Linked DNA regions of Xenopus tropicalis. The protein of the gene in region 3 purifies or fractionates together with the protein of the main gene of each other region. This does not show direct contact. Links are inferred from orthologs where the notes say so. Each region holds a gene or a part of one and is shown on either strand. Other genes may lie near its edges.

The links.
Region 1: the proteins of hdac11 (region 3) and atg2b purify together in Homo sapiens (co-immunoprecipitation; 3 studies listed by BioGRID and IntAct, counting the BioPlex papers as one, with this or other methods). This does not show direct contact. The link is inferred for Xenopus tropicalis from reciprocal best matches to the Homo sapiens genes HDAC11 and ATG2B.
Region 2: the proteins of hdac11 (region 3) and gcfc2 purify together in Homo sapiens (co-immunoprecipitation; 3 studies listed by BioGRID and IntAct, counting the BioPlex papers as one, with this or other methods). This does not show direct contact. The link is inferred for Xenopus tropicalis from reciprocal best matches to the Homo sapiens genes HDAC11 and GCFC2.
Region 4: the proteins of hdac11 (region 3) and paxbp1 purify together in Homo sapiens (co-immunoprecipitation; 3 studies listed by BioGRID and IntAct, counting the BioPlex papers as one, with this or other methods). This does not show direct contact. The link is inferred for Xenopus tropicalis from reciprocal best matches to the Homo sapiens genes HDAC11 and PAXBP1.

Annotation. Positions count from the first base shown.
Region 1 is NC_030684.2:89,146,874-89,152,214, forward strand, and holds the start of atg2b (autophagy-related protein 2 homolog B), read right to left. Parts: upstream 3,153-5,341; 5' UTR 2,736-3,152; coding exon 2,574-2,735; intron 861-2,573; coding exon 698-860; intron 1-697. Other genes in the region: gskip (GSK3-beta interaction protein), read left to right, coding at 5,064-5,321. UniProt on the Homo sapiens protein: Lipid transfer protein required for both autophagosome formation and regulation of lipid droplet morphology and dispersion.
Region 2 is NC_030681.2:145,848,842-145,854,261, forward strand, and holds the start of gcfc2 (GC-rich sequence DNA-binding factor 2), read right to left. Parts: upstream 3,221-5,420; 5' UTR 3,162-3,220; coding exon 2,768-3,161; intron 279-2,767; coding exon 180-278; intron 1-179.
Region 3 is NC_030680.2:152,345,546-152,350,183, reverse strand, and holds part of hdac11 (histone deacetylase 11), read right to left. Parts: intron 1,740-4,638; coding exon 1,623-1,739; intron 760-1,622; coding exon 717-759; intron 579-716; coding exon 502-578; intron 1-501. UniProt on the Homo sapiens protein: Responsible for the deacetylation of lysine residues on the N-terminal part of the core histones (H2A, H2B, H3 and H4).
Region 4 is NC_030678.2:15,092,452-15,097,089, reverse strand, and holds part of paxbp1 (PAX3- and PAX7-binding protein 1), read right to left. Parts: intron 4,606-4,638; coding exon 4,432-4,605; intron 2,251-4,431; coding exon 2,029-2,250; intron 1,636-2,028; coding exon 1,532-1,635; intron 413-1,531; coding exon 195-412; intron 1-194. UniProt on the Homo sapiens protein: Adapter protein linking the transcription factors PAX3 and PAX7 to the histone methylation machinery and involved in myogenesis.

The DNA.
Region 1 (5,341 bases), on a different chromosome or scaffold from region 3:
CCCCTCTCCTGCTCCCCACTCCCTCAAGAATGCTAAGAACTCACTCCCCCCCCCTTAGGAATGTGGATCTGAGCCAAACAGCAAGAAGCTTCCTCATAGTCTTACACACTGAGCATGTACAACGGTCTTGGTGCAGGAGCGAGGCATTATGGGAACTTTCTTTACAGAGCTCAGCGTTTTTTTTTTTTTTCCTATGAGGCTTCTGATCATCTGAACGGGTGAAATATGGGGAGACTTAAGGGCACTATTGAGAGAACTGAAGGTACGCCTGCAGTTTGAGATTAACTCTTTATTAGCCTTTACTTCTCCTTTAAGACAGTTGAGCGATTTGGAGATAATACCACTACCAGCATAAACAGTTCTGCTGAAAGACAAACTGTCTGTGTCACGCTATATCTTTTGCAGCTCTGAATGTGTCCTCTACCACTGGTGACAACTTTACGCAAGGAAGCCTTGTGCCTAACCCACCTTTGTCTGCATTAAACCGCTTCCAAATTCTTAATCTGCTGACAATATTGAGTAAATGAAAGACATATTCATTAACAAAACACTACTTGGTGCCCCTGCTACAAAACACACATCACATAATTATGAGTGCTACAAAGTAACTACTTCACTTCATAATATACATATTGCTTTTACTTATCGTTTTCCAGTTTTTTCTAGTATAAAAAATCATCATGAAAAGTTTACTTACTTAGCCGAGGTCTTGGCCTGAAGACCATCTCGAGTCCCTTCACTTCAAGTGCACAATTATCCTGCAGTAAGGAGCCCCATGGAATGGAGAGAGAGATGGCTTGTATAAAACCTTCTGTAACCTCCAAAGGTGCATCTGCTGACTCCAGTATTTCATTTAGACTCTAGATAGAAAAATAGTATAATAAATGCATAGTTCACATTGCTTCATGTGTGATATTACAACACTTCATTATAATAAACCTGTAATTAGAAAATTATTATTTAAGGAACTATTAATACTACAATTGTTGTAAAGCACCAATCAAATAGAAAACTAATTTCTAGAAACTAATTGCATTCCATTCAAATTCCAAAACGTTTTCTAAATATTTCAATAATAAAAAAAAGTGGGTTGAGAGTTTACCTTCATAAAAAAAGAGATTTTTGTTAAAAATCAAACGTGCTTAATCAGTTATTTTCCTCAATGTATACAATTAAAAATGAGCTTAATTAACAAAGTTTCAGTGATTGGTAAAGTCTAAGCATACAAAATAGGAAATATATATATATAGGAAATATATATTGCTGAAAAGTAATGTCTTTAGTTTCCATAGGGCTGAAAAACACTTCAGTAAATGCAGTAAAATATCAAGAGGGAGGCATAAAATAGTATAATATGAGCTTATTTTGCAAAAAAACCTGAATTTAACAAGAAGTTAGGTATCTGCCTTAAGTATTGGACAGTGGAGTACTCATTGATTCAATACATTCCACAATCTAACACTTTCAAACAATGATTCAGAACATTATTAGATAAAGTACCTTAAATTTTGATTTGGAGGAATGTAAAAGAATGTGTGTGCTTGTGCTTGTGCTTTAAGCAACTACAGCCCTTTCTTGAAATATTAGAAAGCTTGCTAGTTCAGTCTAAGTGGCAATAAACCAAGCCAATTTAACCCTTTTCCTGCTGGGAACCTTTGATCTTGCTGCACCATGCCATCAATCAAAACAGAACACAAATGAAGAAGAAGTCAAACCAGCAAGTTGAATGGGTAGAAGAAAAGTAGCTTCAGCAAAATTAGAGGACAATTACAACTGTTAAGGTGTACCATGCTAATGATAAGAGATGACATTGGACAGTTCTCTGTATTTACTCCTTGTTACTTCATCAGAAAAATGTGACAAAACATAATGTGTGAACTTAAGGGCTACTGAATAGACAAGAAGGTACTAAGGGTGAAGACACACAGAGCTACTAGTAGCAGCTACTTGTCGTGGCTACTAAAAAAAGACAATGCTGACCATTTACTGATAATTGTCTCTACGTGTGCTTTAGCAGAGGAAATTCTCAGTATTGTCTATGGCAGGGTATTTTCTGGAGATCAGTAGCCTTGAAAAAGTAGCTGCTACTAGTAGCCCAGTGTGTGTCTTTACCCTTAGAAACACTTTCAACTGGAAAAAAAAAAACAATAATAAAGAACTAAACTGGTATGTTCTCTCAAGCAGGGATAACACACGGCTACTGAAATGTGTTTCACTAATAGTCTTTATTATACTTTTACATACACATATTTACCAATTTATTTGTGAATTCTTCAACGTCATTCCAGTAAACTGCAATGCACTAACAAACAGAATGGTTGAGCTGTTTGTAGCAATAAATGTTACATGAATGCACCATTTATCTCAAAAACTATACCAAAAAATCTAAATCACCTCTTTAAGACAATTAAATATTGAGCATCTACAACAGTATGGGTGCATTTTTATGTCTATGGCCATTCCCCTTTAACTCTGTTAAGATTACTATGTGCCACTGTTATAACACCATGTTTATAGAAAGATAATTCATTTTCAATCAATGCATTTCAGACATTGTCATTTACATGGCTTACCCATTTGTCCAAGGGAACTTGTGACAGAGAGCCAGTGCCTTGATACAAGTCCAAAGTGAGCTGTTCCAGGCTGAGTTTTTCCTGAAGAAAGTGCCCTAGATATCGTTGCAGCAGGTACCTGCAGGCCCTTTTCTTGATGGACTCAGAGAAGGGCCAAGGCATGATTACTACTGAATGGGAGATCACACAGCCCTATTAACTCTGTCACCCTAAGCAGAATTTAGGTGCTAATTTAAGTACCCAGAACTAACATACACAACCTGCACATGTCATGCACACACTTAGCTTGTCTGTTTGATTCGCATGCATAACTATTGACCATTACTTATCCATCTTAAACTCGTCATTCATTTAACCATTCACCCAACACACTGGGTATTGCCAAAGTCACACAATATTGCGTATTTCTATTAAAGGCCTTCAAGCCACGTTAATCAGCTGTATCTGAAGTCCATGCTCAGTGTTGCCGCGGAGATTCAGCCCTTCCATTAGTCGGGTTTCGGTAGGAGGATAACAGTGCAATACTGGCAGCAATACAACAAGCTTATAATCCTAACAATTCCAAAAAGCTGCCTTCTCACTCTCCCATAACTCCGTATCAGCTTGTCTCAGGGATCGAGACATAAACAATGACATCACTTCCAGGTTGTGAGAACAACACAGTTCTACGGACGCCATTTTTTAATTTGGCACACAATGGGAACTCCAGTCCTAGCGTGCCCGGTCACGGTTACTTAATGATTGTGAATGTGGCAATCGGCATGAACAGGAAGTAAAGGTTTAACCAGAGCTGCGGAAGGCATTGATTGTACTGTAGTTTGGAATCTGCGTGATAAGACTAATCTCCTTTAACGCAAATAATTACAGGTAAAAGTGTGAAAACTAGGCTGGCAGGAGTCGCAGTCAGACAGGGGCGTAGCGCCTTACTTCTATACACAGGCGCTGCATGACTCTGGAAAATAATATTCTGGTTATAGTTCAGCAATTGCTCTTATGTCCCAGAGAATCGCGATTTGCTTTCGTTATGAAAAAAATACTGGGAGATACTGCGACTCATGCAGGACGTTGCCTGTCCTCCCTGAGAATTGGTCCTGAATATGAACTGCTAAGCAAATTATTGTACAATCTATTGTGTCAGCAATTTGTATGAAAATTAGAGACCATGTGAATTGTGTGTAGGAAGGATCAATATTTAAGCATTTAGTTTGCTAACGTTGACTTCTTTACTTTACAGGTATAGGACCCGTTATCCAGAATACTCGGGACCAAGGGTATGGCGGATTAGAGGTCTTTCCGTAATTTGGATCCATAATTTGGATCTCCATACCTTAAGTCTACTAAAAAATCAATAAAACATTAATTAAACCCAATAGGATTGTTTTGCATCCAAAAAGGAATATTTATATCTTATTAGGATCAATTACAATGTACTGCTTTATTACTGCAGAGAAAAAGGAAATCAGTTTTCAAATTCTGAATTATTTGATTAAAATGGAGTCTATGGGAGACGGGCTTTCCGTAATTCGGAGCTTTCTGGATAATGGGTTTCCAGATAAGGGATCCCATACTTGTACTTGATAGAAGCAATCGCACTTTGGGAGCTTTATCCTGAATTTGAATGTCTCCTGTTGATTATTCATTACACATGAATTATTCATTAAATATTAAAATATGCATTTTAGTATCTCTGTGTTTGTTTTATGCCTGTTTATGAATGATTTAGTGATATTTTAAAATATGGTGGGCATAATGCATAGTGATGGTCAGCATTTTCTGTGTCTGGAGGCTCTCCAACTCAGGCGCTGAATCACTGCAGGTTGAATTCAGTAGAAATGATTGCCAGTTAGCCTTCAGGGGAGATATATATTGCTCTTGAAAAATCACTTAAGGTGACCATACTCTGTCCTTCCACACCAGCTCAGCAGCTTATTGGCTGTATATAGGAGCAATATTATATGATTAAAAATCCTGATAGCAATCGAGCAGGCTTGATTTTGCTGTCTTAGCAAGGACAGGATCAGCCCTTTGATGCAGTCCTCTTCTGATGGCCTGCATATTTATAATTTGATCATTGGCTCGAGGGCCAAATGATCAGATCAGCCTGACAGCACCCTGCTTAAGATGGGCATAAAGGGGAAAACTCTTGCCAAACAAGCAGATCTTTAGGTGTATGAATAGTTTAAGTATGATATGATTTAAAGGCATATGGCACAAAAGCTGCTTTGTTGTAGTAGCAATCAGATTTTTGTGGAAAAGCTATGGGCTGCTTTCCATTGACAGCAGGAGAAAGTACTGGAAGAATTGACCAAAAGAATACCTTAAAGGCACACTTCTCTTTTTATTAATTTTTTGTATGTACAGAAATACCTTATCAAAGCAGATTAATATTTTTTTTTTTTTTAAATACAGTTTTTGGTGCAGACTTTTTTGACTGTTAATTTAGTCTAATCCTATTTCCCTTAACTACTTTGTTTGTTTGTTTTTTAGAAAATGGAGGTCGACTACAACCCAATGGATTTGCCAGTTAACACTGTTTATGAAGATGAGTCTGAATTCAGAGATTTGGAAGGAACTGATGTAAAGGATATGTGTTTAGAGGCTGAAGCTATTGTAAATGATGTACTGTTTGCTGTTGGCAACATGTTTGTCTCAAAAACTCTACCATGTGCTGTGGATGTTGCATACATCAATGTTGAGATAAAGGAAGGAACCAGATACTGCCTGGAACTTACTGATGCTGGGTTAAGGGTAAGTGTTTTGAAGGAGTA
Region 2 (5,420 bases), on a different chromosome or scaffold from region 3:
CTCTGTAGGCTACATGCATGTATGTATTTATATCATTATCTTCACCCAGAGACAATATGCTGATCAGTAATGGATTGTAAAAATAATATAACAATTCTTGTACATAGAAAGGAACAAACTGGTGTTTAATAACTATATTCTAAGGGGTGGATGTTCCTGGATTATAGAAATACATTTACCTTTTTTATAGGACTTAATTATGGAGTTCTTTTCTGTCTTTTTCTGCACTTGAAATACCACTGCATTGACACTGGGCTTCTTGATCTTGAAGTCTGCATCTTCACAGGGAAAAGATAAATATTAGGACTATATGCTTTGTATAGTAATTTGAGATTCGAGGGACAGCTCAATGGGGACAACAGCTCCCCCCAAAGCTCTGTGCTGTAGGCATCCTGATATAAATGCCATTTTACCAAGAAAACATATTAAACACTACCCTTGGCTTACACACAAATCCTAAAATAAAAGACAGAGTGAAAAGGGTTTCTGCCATTGGAGTACATACAGAATAGGCAGAGATGTGTGTACTTAAAGGGGTTCGAATTAAAACAGCCTGGCATTCACAGCCTTAAGGTGCAACAATTGTATAAGAAATCCTGTGTTTCTTTTTATAAACATCCTCTTAAGTATCAGACTTCCTGTCCTTTAGAGTTCCTTCAGGGCATGGACAAAAGTCTGCGAAGCTCTCTCCTTACCTCTCGGTTTTTTTGCTCCCCCTCCCATCAAAATTCATAACAATTCAATCCCCCTCCCATCAAAATTCATAACAATTCACTTCCCCTCCCATAAAAGAGTGTGTGATCTGAGCTACCAGCAGCTAGAGCTGCAGCACGGAAGCTACGGAGACCAAGCTAAAACGGCAGCTGCAATCTCAAACAAACAGAGGGAGCTTCTAGGGCTCTTTACTCAGACATGGTAAAGCTTTCTGCAGAATACATATAGTGTTCTAGGTGGCACTAATGTGGCTAATCTGTTGGCAGTAAAATGCCAAAATGACTTTCCTTCTCCTTTAACAGCAATAGTTCTAATGATTTCCAGTACAGCAAATAAACTTTGTTCTTACTGACCTTGACATTGGGCTTCTGTGACTATCTATGTCACCAAACTAATATTCTATTTAGTTCCAGCCTTCTGCCCCCCCCCCCGAGGCGGTTTGTCATTTATGTTCCTCATGGGGGGCAGAAACTCAGTTTGCTATCCACTCTCTTAGGGTAATGTCCTATGGAGAGATTAGTCACCTGCGGTAGCAGAGATCTATCACGGGCGACTAATCTCTCCTTCCCATCAGCAACAAAGGGAGTAGATGGTGGAAAGGCATAGGCATCGCTTTGGTTTTCCGAAGTCGCACAAAGTTTCCTTTCTGCAGGCACCTTTGAGAGACTGCTGAAAACCAAAGCGGCACATATGCCTTTTCCCTTTGTTGCTGGCGGAAAGGCACTTCGCAGAGATTAGTCGCCTGCAGTGGCAGAGATCTATCGCCGGTGACTAATCTCTGCATAGGGAAGAAGCACACCAATTTGTCGGCCATGCCTTTCAACACATTTATTGCAGAAAGTAAGTGGCACAAGCTTTCAGGCATTACCCCCTTCTTCAGGTTCTTCTTCATTGCACCTGAAGAAGGGGGTAACCCCCGAAAGTTTGTGCCACTGCAATAAATGTGTTGAAAGGCATGGCCGACAAATTGGTGTGCTTCTTCCCTTTGTAAAGTACATGGAATGGCTTAGGAGCAGCCGAGAAATTGAAGCACCCTATGGAAGTGTGTAAGTCAGGGGTCCCCAACCTTTCTTACTCGTGAGCCACAGACAAATGTAAAAAGACTTGGGGAGCAACACAAGCACCATAAAAGTTCATGGAGGAGCCAAATAAGGGCTGTGATTGGCTATTAGGCAGCCTCTATGCACCCTATCAGCTTACAGGGGGCTTTATTGGTAGTAATTCTTGTTTATACTCAACCAAAACTTGCCCCCAAGTCAGGAATTCAAATATAACTACCTGGTTTGGGGGCACTGAGAGCAACATCCAAGGGGTTGGGGAGCAATGTGTTGCTCACGAGCTACTGGTTGGGGATCACTGGTGTAAGTGGTGTGCTGAACATTTTTTCTATTGTTAATCTCTCCATAGGACATTACCCTAAATGTGTACAAACTGAATTAGACCAGGTGACCATACAAGGAGGGGAACTTGCTACTGATGAGCGATAGGCATATCAATAATTAGGAAATTGGATTGTAAGCTTTAGATACATGGCATAATACAAGCCAGACGTGGGCAATGGAGGATGGCTGGGGAACAAAACTGAAGAGGGCAAAAAAATACAAACAAGAATGCCCATCTTTCAGTCCTTCAACTGTTGTACAACAATTGCTGGCACTTGATTGTTTGAGCTGCAGTTTAACACAACAATAGAATGGCCGGGCATAGTTTAGATAACGGTGATTTATATACAGAAAATGCCAAGGGCAAAGGCACATGGGGCATATTGCTACTCAGTGGATTTTCATCTCTAAGTCAACAGGACTGTAACTGAATACGGATAACCAGACCCTGCCATTGCAGGAGAATTTCCAACATATTGTGGGAGACTGAGGCCAACCCCTGTGTTATAACGTCCCTCTTCATAAGGAAAAGTCAATGTGTTGGTACCAAGTGTGGGATATTTGTACTGCCTGGGGCACAGGGCAAGGAATGAGCTACCGGGCAGGGAATAAGGAATGACTTGTTTCCCACTCTGGGTTCAGCTGGGGCCAAGGGCAGAGTTTTGCCTCACCTTCTCTCTCCTCAGCGAAGCTCAGCAGGGTGGGCGGGGCTGTAAAGCGAATAGAGAATTCGGGTTCCACAGGAGCAGTCCCGACTGTTTCACTGGGATCCGGTTCCCCTTCCGCATCACTCCCAGCCCCGTCTCTCCGCGCCGCATCACTCCCAGCCCCGTCTCTCCGCGCCGCATCACTCCCAGCCCCGTCTCTCCGCGCCGCATCACTCCCAGCCCCGTCTCCCTGCGCCGCTTCGGCCCTCTTCCCTCGCTCAGTCCCACAAAATAAGCCGCGGCCGGCTGGCCTCCTCTGCTCCCTGGCCCGGGGTTGCTCACTCTCTTCTTCCCGCTCCTCTTCCTCGCTGGACTCCGCTTTCCTCACACGAATCGCTCGCTTCGGTTTTCTAAACATTGTCAAGTAGCGGGGCGCATTTAACTGACGTCAGGCAAAGCGACTTGGGCGAACACTTTGCAGCCAATCAGGATAGGGTTTTTTTTTTCTTTTTTTAAAAAAAGCTTTATTACACAAACCAATATGTACTTTTGTCTTGTATTTGCTTTTCCATTTCTGACCTCTTTCCACTGGCTGTCATGCCACAACCTTTCTCCTCTATAACCTGCTCCCCTATTTATATACAATTATCTACCTTGACTAACTTCTAGGCACCCCTTAATTGCCAAAAACGCAACAGAAATAGGAAATTTACCTCCAAAATCAGTGGCATAGCAACTATACAAGGGGATTCTGTATGGTAGTTCCCTCTTTCCAGCTACTTCAAACTACAAATTTTGCTCCTGGCAGTAAGGATTTGGCAGCAAGGCAGTATAGGAGAGGGTCAAGTGTGTGTTATGTATTGTTACCTACAGTATAGCTCCCAACATTTTGAAAATGAAAAGTGGGTCAAAAATAAATGCGCACAGCGCCGCAGAATATTTTTGACCACGCCCATTTTTGCGACCACACCCCCTAAATACCACTCCCATTTGACTAAATTTGACAGGTTATTTAAAGTTTAAACACATTTCTGGGGGTTTTGGGGTCCTGTTTTATGTGTATTACAATTTTGCTGAAAAAGGTGAAATTGCCCTTTAAGGTGTGAGTCTCAGTTCCCCCAAGAGACCTGTTTAGCTTATTAGTTACAATTGTATCTGGGGGGGGCTTTTTACCTTTCTGGGCTCTCTGCCAAAAAGCCCACTTTAGGCTGATGCCACACTCGGCGTAGGGCTTATTTTTAAAATTCAGCCCTACGCCTGCCGATATACGCATGAAAAGGCGTGAGAATGCAAAGTCTTGCTTTTTCATGAGTATATCGGCTACATGTGCCTGCACCCGAGCGTATTCCATTCATTCGGGCGCAGGCACAAGTAGCAGGCGGTAGGGCTGAATTTTCAGCAAGCGTTTGATGCGTGTGGCATCAGCCTTATTCATTAAAAGCGAGAAACAATGTATCTAAATGCAAGTGAGGCTCGTTAAGATTTCTGGGCTTTCTGCCAAAAGCTACTTTTAATTATATTTGTATCTTTTTTAGCTTCAGTGCAGGAGATCAAAGGGAAATGAGGGACTTTTCAGTAAGAATCTGGGACTGCGGGTTGAGCTGTCTAAAGAGGGACTGTCCCGCGAAAATCGGGACAGTTGAGAGGTATGGCCTACAGGGCCTCCCCAAAACTATTTATATGGGGCCCCCCCATGAACAAAAGTGCACAGTGCCAAAATTGTGGCCAATATGTGCAATATAAACAGCTGCTAATACGCAGTTCATACAAAGAGTTCCACTGATTAATGTGCTAATAAGTCATGCAGATTATTGGGGGTCAATGGAGTTTTCCCTAGTTTAACCCCTTCCCACCTTCTTGCCCCTGCTCTATGCTGTCCAGGGGCGCAGCTGTAATGAGAACTTGAGAATCTCGCTTCAGACGGCAAAATTTAAGTTACCAGAATGGGGAGGCATTTGAGCCGCTGTAATATCTCTGCTCTGGATTAAAATAAACAAACTTGGTGTGTGACACTAGCACCAGGTGCTAAATAAACGAAACCTACTTATGTAACTGTTACCAGCTGTTTGTGACTCCTCCGTACGCCTCCTGTGGACACTTGATTGCTGCAACTTTAGGAAATATTTTTTAGGTAAATTACCAACAAGATGCATATTTTGTCCTGGTTCTATTTCTAAATAGTCAATTCCAATTAGTCTGCACCTCATACAGTCATGCAGAAGGCCATTTTTACTTTGCCTCCGCCAGCACTGCTCCATCTCCCTCCCTGTGCCTTGCTAACACTTAGGGGCACATTCATCAGGTACAACAGGTCCGATTACAAAAAAAATAAGTATTTTTTCTAAAGTTTACAACTTTTGCGTATGTTCTGCAATATTTCCGTACTTTGCAAGAATTTGCGCAAGAAAATCATATTTGTCGTAACAAGTACGAAAGTTTTGGATTCATTCAAGCTTCGGTATGGTGACTTTCCTTGGGCCGGGTTGGAGCTGCAGAGTGCCATTGAGCCCTATGGGAGACTTTCCTTGGGCCGGGTTGGAGCTGCAGAGTGCCATTGAGCCCTATGGGAGACTTTCCTTGGGCCGGGTTGGAGCTGCAGAGTGCCATTGAGTCCTATGGGAGGCTTTCCTTGGGCCGGGTTGGAGCTGCAGAGTGCCATTGAGCCCTATGGGAGACT
Region 3 (4,638 bases):
CTTCCTAACATTCCTGTTCAGTACTGGGGGACACAGTAATAGAGGGTTCAATAGCTGGAGCTGTGGGACTAACAAGGAACATAAATAATACAAAAACATAGATCTAGCATCAATCGGTTACCCTGGCAACCAATAGCCAATACATTCCCTGAATTGCTCCTAATCACCGGAGAGGCAGAATATTTATGAGGGGAACTGGGAACTAGAATTTTTCAGACCCCGCCCCCTTACGAGAGGTACGGTACCTATTGATTGGAGGAAAACTGGTGAAATTCCAGTACTTAGAAGGGAATAACATTCTCAACCAGGGAGTTACAGGCCTGTAAGTCTGACAGTTGTATAGGGAGGATTGGTAACATTTAAGATTATGTTCCTTGTGCAATTATCTGATTTTCTGCCCCTAACACCAACTCTGCGCCCCAGACTCGGAGACTTGCCAGCCTTCTTGCCCCATTGGGAATGGACAGGGGATACCCTCTGCCTGGCACGGCACCCTGGTACCTTAATGGCCAACGTGATATCGGCGTACGCACAGAATCCTCCGCCTCTGTCGCCGGAACAGTGATGGAAGCCGCCACCTGGGGCCAAACAGGAAGTACAGACATTATTACATTATGATGTCATGAGAGCACCCACATATTCCGCAGCGCTGTACAATACATGGGCATCTAGAGAAATCGGCCAAATGAGTTGGGCCAATGAAAGGCGCCACTTACCCACATTGATTGCCCACCCCCTCTCCATCGCCAGCTTTCCGGCCTGAGAAAAGGAACAAACCTGTTATTTCTGTTTTAATAAGGAAACATTTTGCTGAGGGAATTGGAGATATTCTGCCAATGGGGGGACAGAGCACCCCGATAAATACCCATAGTGACGCCCCATCTCATTCAGGATAAATACACTGGTTTGGGGGCGGAACGGGTGGGACTGTGGGCTCTGGGAGTCCTGTTGGTGGGCAGCAGTGTAATGTTGTACTAACGAGGGGCTGCAAGTGTGGGGGTTCAGTTTAGCACCCCATTTATTCAAGTCGTTAGGGTTAGGGACACAGCGAATCCAGGATTCAGTTTGGGATTTATATATATAATATACAGTTGGGTCATTTCCCTATGGGACCGAACTGTAAATTATATCCTTATAAACGGTGCTCAGTGATGTCATCAGTTAGAATCGGAGTTTAGTGATGTCATTTCTGTCACATGACTCACTCAAAACTTGTATAGTATAATTAGTAAAGTGCCCCCTGTTGTAAAATATAAGGATATTGTATGTCACCTCGGAGTTCCATGACCTGTATAAAAGCACGAGGCCGAAGGCATTTATACAGGTCATGGAACTCTGAGGTGACTTACAATATCCTTATATTTTACAATAGGGGGCACTTTATTCATTATATCATATATATATAGATATTCGGCCGAACCAAAAATAATGGATTTGTTGCATCCCTAATATATATATATAAACACATAAAAAGACATATACAAACAGACAGGAACAGCTTCCGTGGGTATTCATCCTGTAGGGGGCGCTAGAGGCTGACACGAGTTTATTGGCACATAGAAGTGCCTAGTGAGTCTATATGAGGAGCTGATCCTATCAAATCCTGTCTGAGTCCCACTCACCATGATGGTGCCTCCCGTCTGGAACCTCAGCGGTTTGAGGACTTTGCGTTGGACAAGAAAATTGGGGAGCAGGAAGAGTGGGGGGATCTCGGTGATTGTGGCCACCACGTAAGACCACTAAAATGCAAAATAAGAAATCTTAGTGGCACATAGTACAATAAATGACACTTACATTGTATTGTATATATACTGTATGTGTTGTGTGCACAACTCCCAGCACCCTAAATGCCAATATTACACAATGCTCTGTTATACAGATAGCTAGAGTCTCAGCCATAAAGCAGGGCAGGACTGCTGCTTACAATGGGGGGGGGGGATCAGATAGGATCTGTGCCACTGTGACAGAATGCTCTGTTATACAGATAGCTAGAATCTCAGCCATAAAGCAGGGCAGGACTGCTGCTTACAATGGGGGGATCAGATAGGATCTGTGCCACTGTGACAGAATGCTCTGTTATACAGATAGCTAGAATCTCAGCCATAAAGCAGGGCAGGACTGCTGCTTACAATGGGGGGGATAGGATCTGTGCCACTGTGACAGAATGCTCTGTTATACAGATAGCTAGAATCTCAGCCATAAAGCAGGGCAGGACTGCTGCTTACAATGGGGGATCAGATAGGATCTGTGCCACTGTGACAGAATGCTCTGTTATACAGATAGCTAGAATCTCAGCCATAAAGCAGGGCAGGACTGCTGCTTACAATGGGGGGGGGGATCAGATAGGATCTGTGCCACTGTGACAGAATGCTCTGTTATACAGATAGCTAGAATCTCAGCCATAAAGCAGGGCAGGACTGCTGCTTACAATGGGGGGATCAGATAGGATCTGTGCCACTGTGACAGAATGCTCTGTTATACAGATAGCTAGAATCTCAGCCATAAAGCAGGGCAGGACTGCTGCTTACAATGGGGGGGATCAGATAGGATCTGTGCCACTGTGACAGAATGCTCTGTTATACAGATAGCTAGAATCTCAGCCATAAAGCAGGGCAGGACTGCTGCTTACAATGGGGGGGATCAGATAGGATCTGTGCCACTGTGACAGAATGCTCTGTTATACAGATAGCTAGAATCTCAGCCATAAAGCAGGGCAGGACTGCTGCTTACAATGGGGGGGATCAGATAGGATCTGTGCCACTGTGACAGAATGCTCTGTTATACAGATAGCTAGAATCTCAGCCATAAAGCAGGGCAGGACTGCTGCTTACAATGGGGGGATCAGATAGGATCTGTGCCACTGTGACAGAATGCTCTGTTATACAGATAGCTAGAATCTCAGCCATAAAGCAGGGCAGGACTGCTGCTTACAATGGGGGGGATCAGATAGGATCTGTGCCACTGTGACAGAATGCTCTGTTATACAGATAGCTAGAATCTCAGCCATAAAGCAGGGCAGGACTGCTGCTTACAATGGGGGGGATCAGATAGGATCTGTGCCACTGTGACAGAATGCTCTGTTATACAGATAGCTAGAATCTCAGCCATAAAGCAGGGCAGGACTGCTGCTTACAATGGGGGGATCAGATAGTATCTGTGCCACTGTGACAGAATGCTCTGTTATACAGATAGCTAGAATCTCAGCCATAAAGCAGGGCAGGACTGCTGCTTACAATGGGGGGGATCAGATAGGATCTGTGCCACTGTGACAGAATGCTCTGTTATACAGATAGCTAGAATCTCAGCCATAAAGCAGGGCAGGACTGCTGCTTACAATGGGGGGATCAGATAGGATCTGTGCCACTGTGACAGAATGCTCTGTTATACAGATAGCTAGAATCTCAGCCATAAAGCAGGGCAGGACTGCTGCTTACAATGGGGGGGATCAGATAGGATCTGTGCCACTGTGACAGAATGCTCTGTTATACAGATAGCTAGAATCTCAGCCATAAAGCAGGGCAGGACTGCTGCTTACAATGGGGGGATCAGATAGGATCTGTGCCACTGTGACAGAATGCTCTGTTATACAGATAGCTAGAATCTCAGCCATAAAGCAGGGCAGGACTGCTGCTTACAATGGGGGGGATAGGATCTGTGCCACTGTGACAGAATGCTCTGTTATACAGATAGCTAGAATCTCAGCCATAAAGCAGGGCAGGACTGCTGCTTACAATGGGGGGATCAGATAGGATCTGTGCCACTGTGACAGAATGCTCTGTTATACAGATAGCTAGAATCTCAGCCATAAAGCAGGGCAGGACTGCTGCTTACAATGGGGGGATCAGATAGGATCTGTGCCACTGTGACAGAATGCTCTGTTATACAGATAGCTAGAATCTCAGCCATAAAGCAGGGCAGGACTGCTGCTTACAATGGGGGGATCAGATAGGATCTGTGTCACTGTGACAGAATGCTCTGTTATACAGATAGCTAGAATCTCAGCCATAAAGCAGGGCAGGACTGCTGCTTACAATGGGGGGATCAGATAGGATCTGTGCCACTGTGACAGAATGCTCTGTTATACAGATAGCTAGAATCTCAGCCATAAAGCAGGGCAGGACTGCTGCTTACAATGGGGGGGATCAGACAAACCCTTACAAGCAGCAGAATGATGGGGAAGTTTGAGTCCAAATCTGACCCATTTGCCCCGTATGCAGAATGATTGTTCTGTTTATTTCCTTAATTCTCAGCAGGACAGACAGGCCCCGGCACCGATACTCTCTGCCCACAGTCTCTATGGCTCAGAGTTAAACATGTTATGTAATTGCCCTTTATTCATTTGCAGACAGAACTGTCAGTGTCCTTTTATGGCATCATTCCCGGGTCCCCCCCCCCCAGGCCCTCCTGCCCCTCCTGCCCCAGACTGAGGATATGAATTTGGTGATGTTCCAAAGGCACTGAATTTGCCCCAGGGGCAGTAACCCATAGCAACCAATCAGCAAGAAGCATTTACTGCTCACCTGTTTAAAAGCAAACATCTTATTGGTTGCTATGGGTTACTGCTACTGGGCAAATTCAGTGCCTTTTATTATATATGGGGGTAACTATCTGCCCCTTAACGGATTACTCAGTTATGTC
Region 4 (4,638 bases), on a different chromosome or scaffold from region 3:
CAATCTCACTTCACTAGGCTTTACACGTTTTCCAAGGAAATTGGTTCAAATCTTGATTCCATCCGTGTTCTTCAAGGAGTTCACTGGTGTTACACAGAGGCTTTACATTCCCGGCCCCAGTTATATGGAGCCTGGGGAAGAGAAAGCCTGTGGACTGTTTTTGTACGCCCCAATAGAAAGTTAGTCTGCCCTACCTGTCTTTAAGCTGTTTCTTTACCAAATCAATAGTAACAGGAGTCATCTCATTACTGGGAGTTTTGAAAGAGACAGAATTATCTGGTTTCTGAGATTTTGTCTCAGTGGATCCATAAGCAGCATAAGTGTAGGGGACACCATATGATGTGCCGTAAGGCATTCCTTGGTAAGTACTTGGGTAGAACATATTTGTTTCTGGAGGCTGAGGTGCTTGAACCTAAAAAGAGAAAACATGTAACAATCAAAATATTCTCTGTATCTAAACAAACAGCACAGAAACATGAAAGAAAGCACGTATTAAACTCTTTTTTCTAAATTCCTGCCTGCTAGAGGGGAGAAAGAAAGGGATTCTCTCTCAATCTTTATTACTAAATTACACCGTGTACATTGCAAGTAATTCTACCATTTAAAATTTTATGCTTGAACAAATAATTTTTTTTTAAGTTATAACACTGGTATGTAGGCAGCCATGTCAGGTCCTTCTGCCTGATTCTGCCCTTTCAGAAAGAGTCAGCACTTCACAATGCAACTGCTTTCAGATAAGTTATTGTTTCTCTTACTCAATGTAACTGGAGGAGTCATGGTCGGACCATCAAGTGCTTATCTCATACCCACAACTAGGTGGGGCATGGGAGCAAGTATCAGGGAGCTGTTATATTCCCACTGTTCTGCTGATTGGCTGCTAGGGAAATGATGAGGGGGCAACATCACTCAAACGTGCAGTGCAGAAAGTTTACCAGAGCACAAGTCAGGTGTCTAAGGGCAATAATACATCAACAAGAATACATCTATCCCCACTGTTCCAATGATAGTGAACAGAATTCCTTCTGTTTTCCATCACTGGAATGCAGATCTTGCTATCTTATGTGTCTCTGGGTATGAGGCAGCACCTAGGGATTGAGAGCAGAAAGGCAAGCTGAATAGGAAAATCCAGGTACAATTGAAAAGAATAGACCTGGCTCATACAGACTACATGAAACCATCAGGTTCCTGTTCCAATGTCTACTAACAGCCAATGCTAAATGCTGTAGCTAAACTGCCTTGATGAAGGCAGTACAATTGTGTTTTAGAGAAATCTGCAAGATTAATGGTTACAGAACGGTTTCTGATAATTCATCCCTATAAATTGTGAACACTTGTGTTTGGTCCATGTTCGGGCACAGATCCTTTATATTAAAAATACTATATCTGAAACATAAATGATATAATAAGGGTATTAAGATTTAGTAAGTCATAAAGCAAGAGATCCTAGGCAGCTGTGTTTTCTGCACACAAGAATCTGCCAGAGGTGCTGACAATCTATTCTTTGTTCAACAGTGATGTCTGTAATACATGCCTGCGGAATACTAATTCCCTTCCGAATCTGTTCCTGCTCCCAGCGGCTGAGCTCTTCATCTTGGTCTCCCGTTGCTAAAGCCTCATCATCACTTCCTTCTATTCCTGTAAAAATAATAGAAAATTAGGTGGGAAAAAAACATTCCTTTATTAGCAAGAGCCAAATGCAACTAAAGGTAAAAAACAAGCTCAACTGTGGAAAAGTTGTACCAATTTACCCAATTTAATTCCACAAGAATGCCAGTTAGGCAAATGGGCACTTTTCGGCATTATGTTTCTAAATAAAAATGCAAACCAAAGTGCCAAAAACCTTCCCTTACTGGCCATTTGAATATTACTGAAGGTTTCTATTGTAGGGAGTGTGTGGGGGGGTCTGTTTGCACAGTTGTGTAGTGTACTCCTTGTGTTAAACATTACCTACAGTATATTATGAGATATAATATTATGACCCCCCACACACTCCCTACATCTATCACACAGGGAAACAGCAACACTTACCAATTTCCTCCGCTATTTTCTGCCTCTGAGATTTCTCTCGAACGGAAAAGACTATTCGCCTCTTATCATCATCTTCATCATCACTTGCGTCGTTTTCATCTTCACGCACCAGTCGGCTTTTACCACCCCCCTCACCATCTACAGATGGGGCATCTCCAAGTTCTCGAGCCATCTGTCTCTTCTTACGCGCTGCATGGATGAACGCAGCGTCTGGTATCTCTCCTGGAGAAAAACAAATTGGCAATTGCTGAGGCTGCAGCCCATGTAGAAAAGAATAGAGAATCAAGCACTCCAGTGAGTGTGTGCTCAAAGGATTCCACTATATCTGGCGGTTTTAAAGTAATACTGACACCAAAAATAATTATGTTTTTTAAACCTTTCATTTGCTTTATCATTGTATTATCTCTTTAATTTCAACCTATAACCATATAGCTATCACTTTTACAATGCCATTCTGGTCTCATGGGTTCCTCTCTGAGGGGGCTGCCATGTTTGGGCAGTAGCAGTTTGTTGTTGTTTGAAAACACTCCCCTTAATTTTAGTTTAAAAATCCTAGCCAATCGGAATCAGTGCTGCACATACAAACTATTTCTAATGAAATCTTTTAATGCTGAAGTACAACAGTGAACAGTGGTGTTTAGGAATGAGGTATTTGTATCCCTTTCTAAGCATATTTTCTCTGATACCCTTTGAACTGGCCCTCTCTGTCATGTATGCTCTATAGCAGACACACGCAGAGTGTATACTTTTTATCTATATGGGAGCGCATTCCTTTCAAATAATAAATCACAGCAGGACTAATTAGTATAGCTCTGGTGCAAAGATTTATTGAGAAGACACTTACAGGCAGCGCTCCGTGAAAGTATCTTGATGTCTTTGATGTGGGGGAGGCACAGACTGCAAGGAAGTAAGGGGAATAGAACCGCCCAGCTGATATCAGTGAAGTGAAACAGTAATTGACAGGTTGAGAAGTGCCAGTCGGGTTTGCAAAACAGTCGGGTTTTAGACATCATGTAACTTTACTAAATAAGCAGACACCTGGGCAAAAAACAATCAGTATAACCCATAGCTAACTTTTGATGTACACCATTATTTTGAGGACTACATTTTTAATGTCAGTATCACTTTAAGGTACAAACATATAAAACAATAATCAGTTTTGAACAAAAAATGTGATTATAAAAATTGTTACATTTCCCATTAATATTGCCCCTTGAAGGGGTTGTTCACCTTTATGACAGACATTGATTTTCTGAGACAGTTTGCAATTGGTCTTCATGTTTTATCTGTTGTGGTTTTTAAATTATTTAGCTTTTTGCTCAGCAGCTCTCCAGTTTGGCATGCCAGCATCTAGGTGGCTGCTATGGTCTTGTTCACCCCTAGCAAACAGTCAGTGGTTTAAATGAGAGGCTGGAATATGAATAGGAAAGGGACTAAACTATTTGCAAGAAGGAAAGAAGCAGAAGACCATAACAAATAATTAAAAAACTATAAAGAATAATAAAGACCAATGGCAAGGATGCTAAGAAAAAGACATCCTAAAAGTTGAATTAAAAATGAACAACCCCTTTAACAAGCACAAGAGTCAGGCCAGGGGGGCTCCGGCCAGAGGCCATCAGTAGACAATTGTTTGCTTTTAGTTGTACAGGTATCGGACCCCTTACCCGGAAACCCGTTATCCAGAAAGCTCCGAATTACGGAAAGCCCGTCTCCCATAGAATCCATTTAAATCAAATAATTCAGAATTTTAAAACTGAATTCCGTTTTCTCTGAAGTAATAAAACAGTACCTTGTAATTGATCCCAACTGGGGGCAGAACAGCCCTATTGGGTTTATTTAATGGTTAAATGATTCCCTTTTCTCTGTAATAATAAAACAGTACCTGTACTTTATCCCAACTAAGATATAATTACCCCTTATTGGGGGCAGAACAATCCTATTGGGTTTATTTAATGGTTAAATGATTCCCTTTTCTCTGTAATAATAAAACAGTACCTGTACTTGATCCCAACTAAGATATAATTACCCCTTATTGGGGGCAGAACAGCCCTATTGGGTTTATTTCATGGTTAAATGATTCCCTTTTCTCTGTAATAATAAAACAGTACCTGTACTTGATCCCAACTAAGATATAATTACCCCTTATTGGGGGCAGAACAGTCCTATTGGGTTTAATTAATGTTTTATTGATTTTTTAGCAGACTTAAGGTATGGAGATCCAAATTACAGAAAGACCCCTTATCCGGAATACCCTTGGTCCCGAGCATTCTGGATAACGGGTCCTATACCTGTACCAACAAGTATCTTGATCCAGGCCCGTTTTGTGCCCCTCTGGTGCCCAGTAGCAAGGAATGGCAGCTAGGGAGGACCTGCAAAGATGCCACAGAAATATAGGGCACTTACCTGGGCGGAGGACATTCAGAGAAGACACTGCGTTTGTAAATGAGCCGGCTTTGGGTTTTTCCTCTTCTTTTTCACTTTCAACTTCCATCTCCTCCTCCCCTAGATCGCTGCCCACAGCAATGTCCTCTTGGATTCCATCCTTAGGCGGCAGGGATCTGTTCATAAAGCTGTCACCTGTGCCGCAAGGTTACCATTAAATTCACTTGC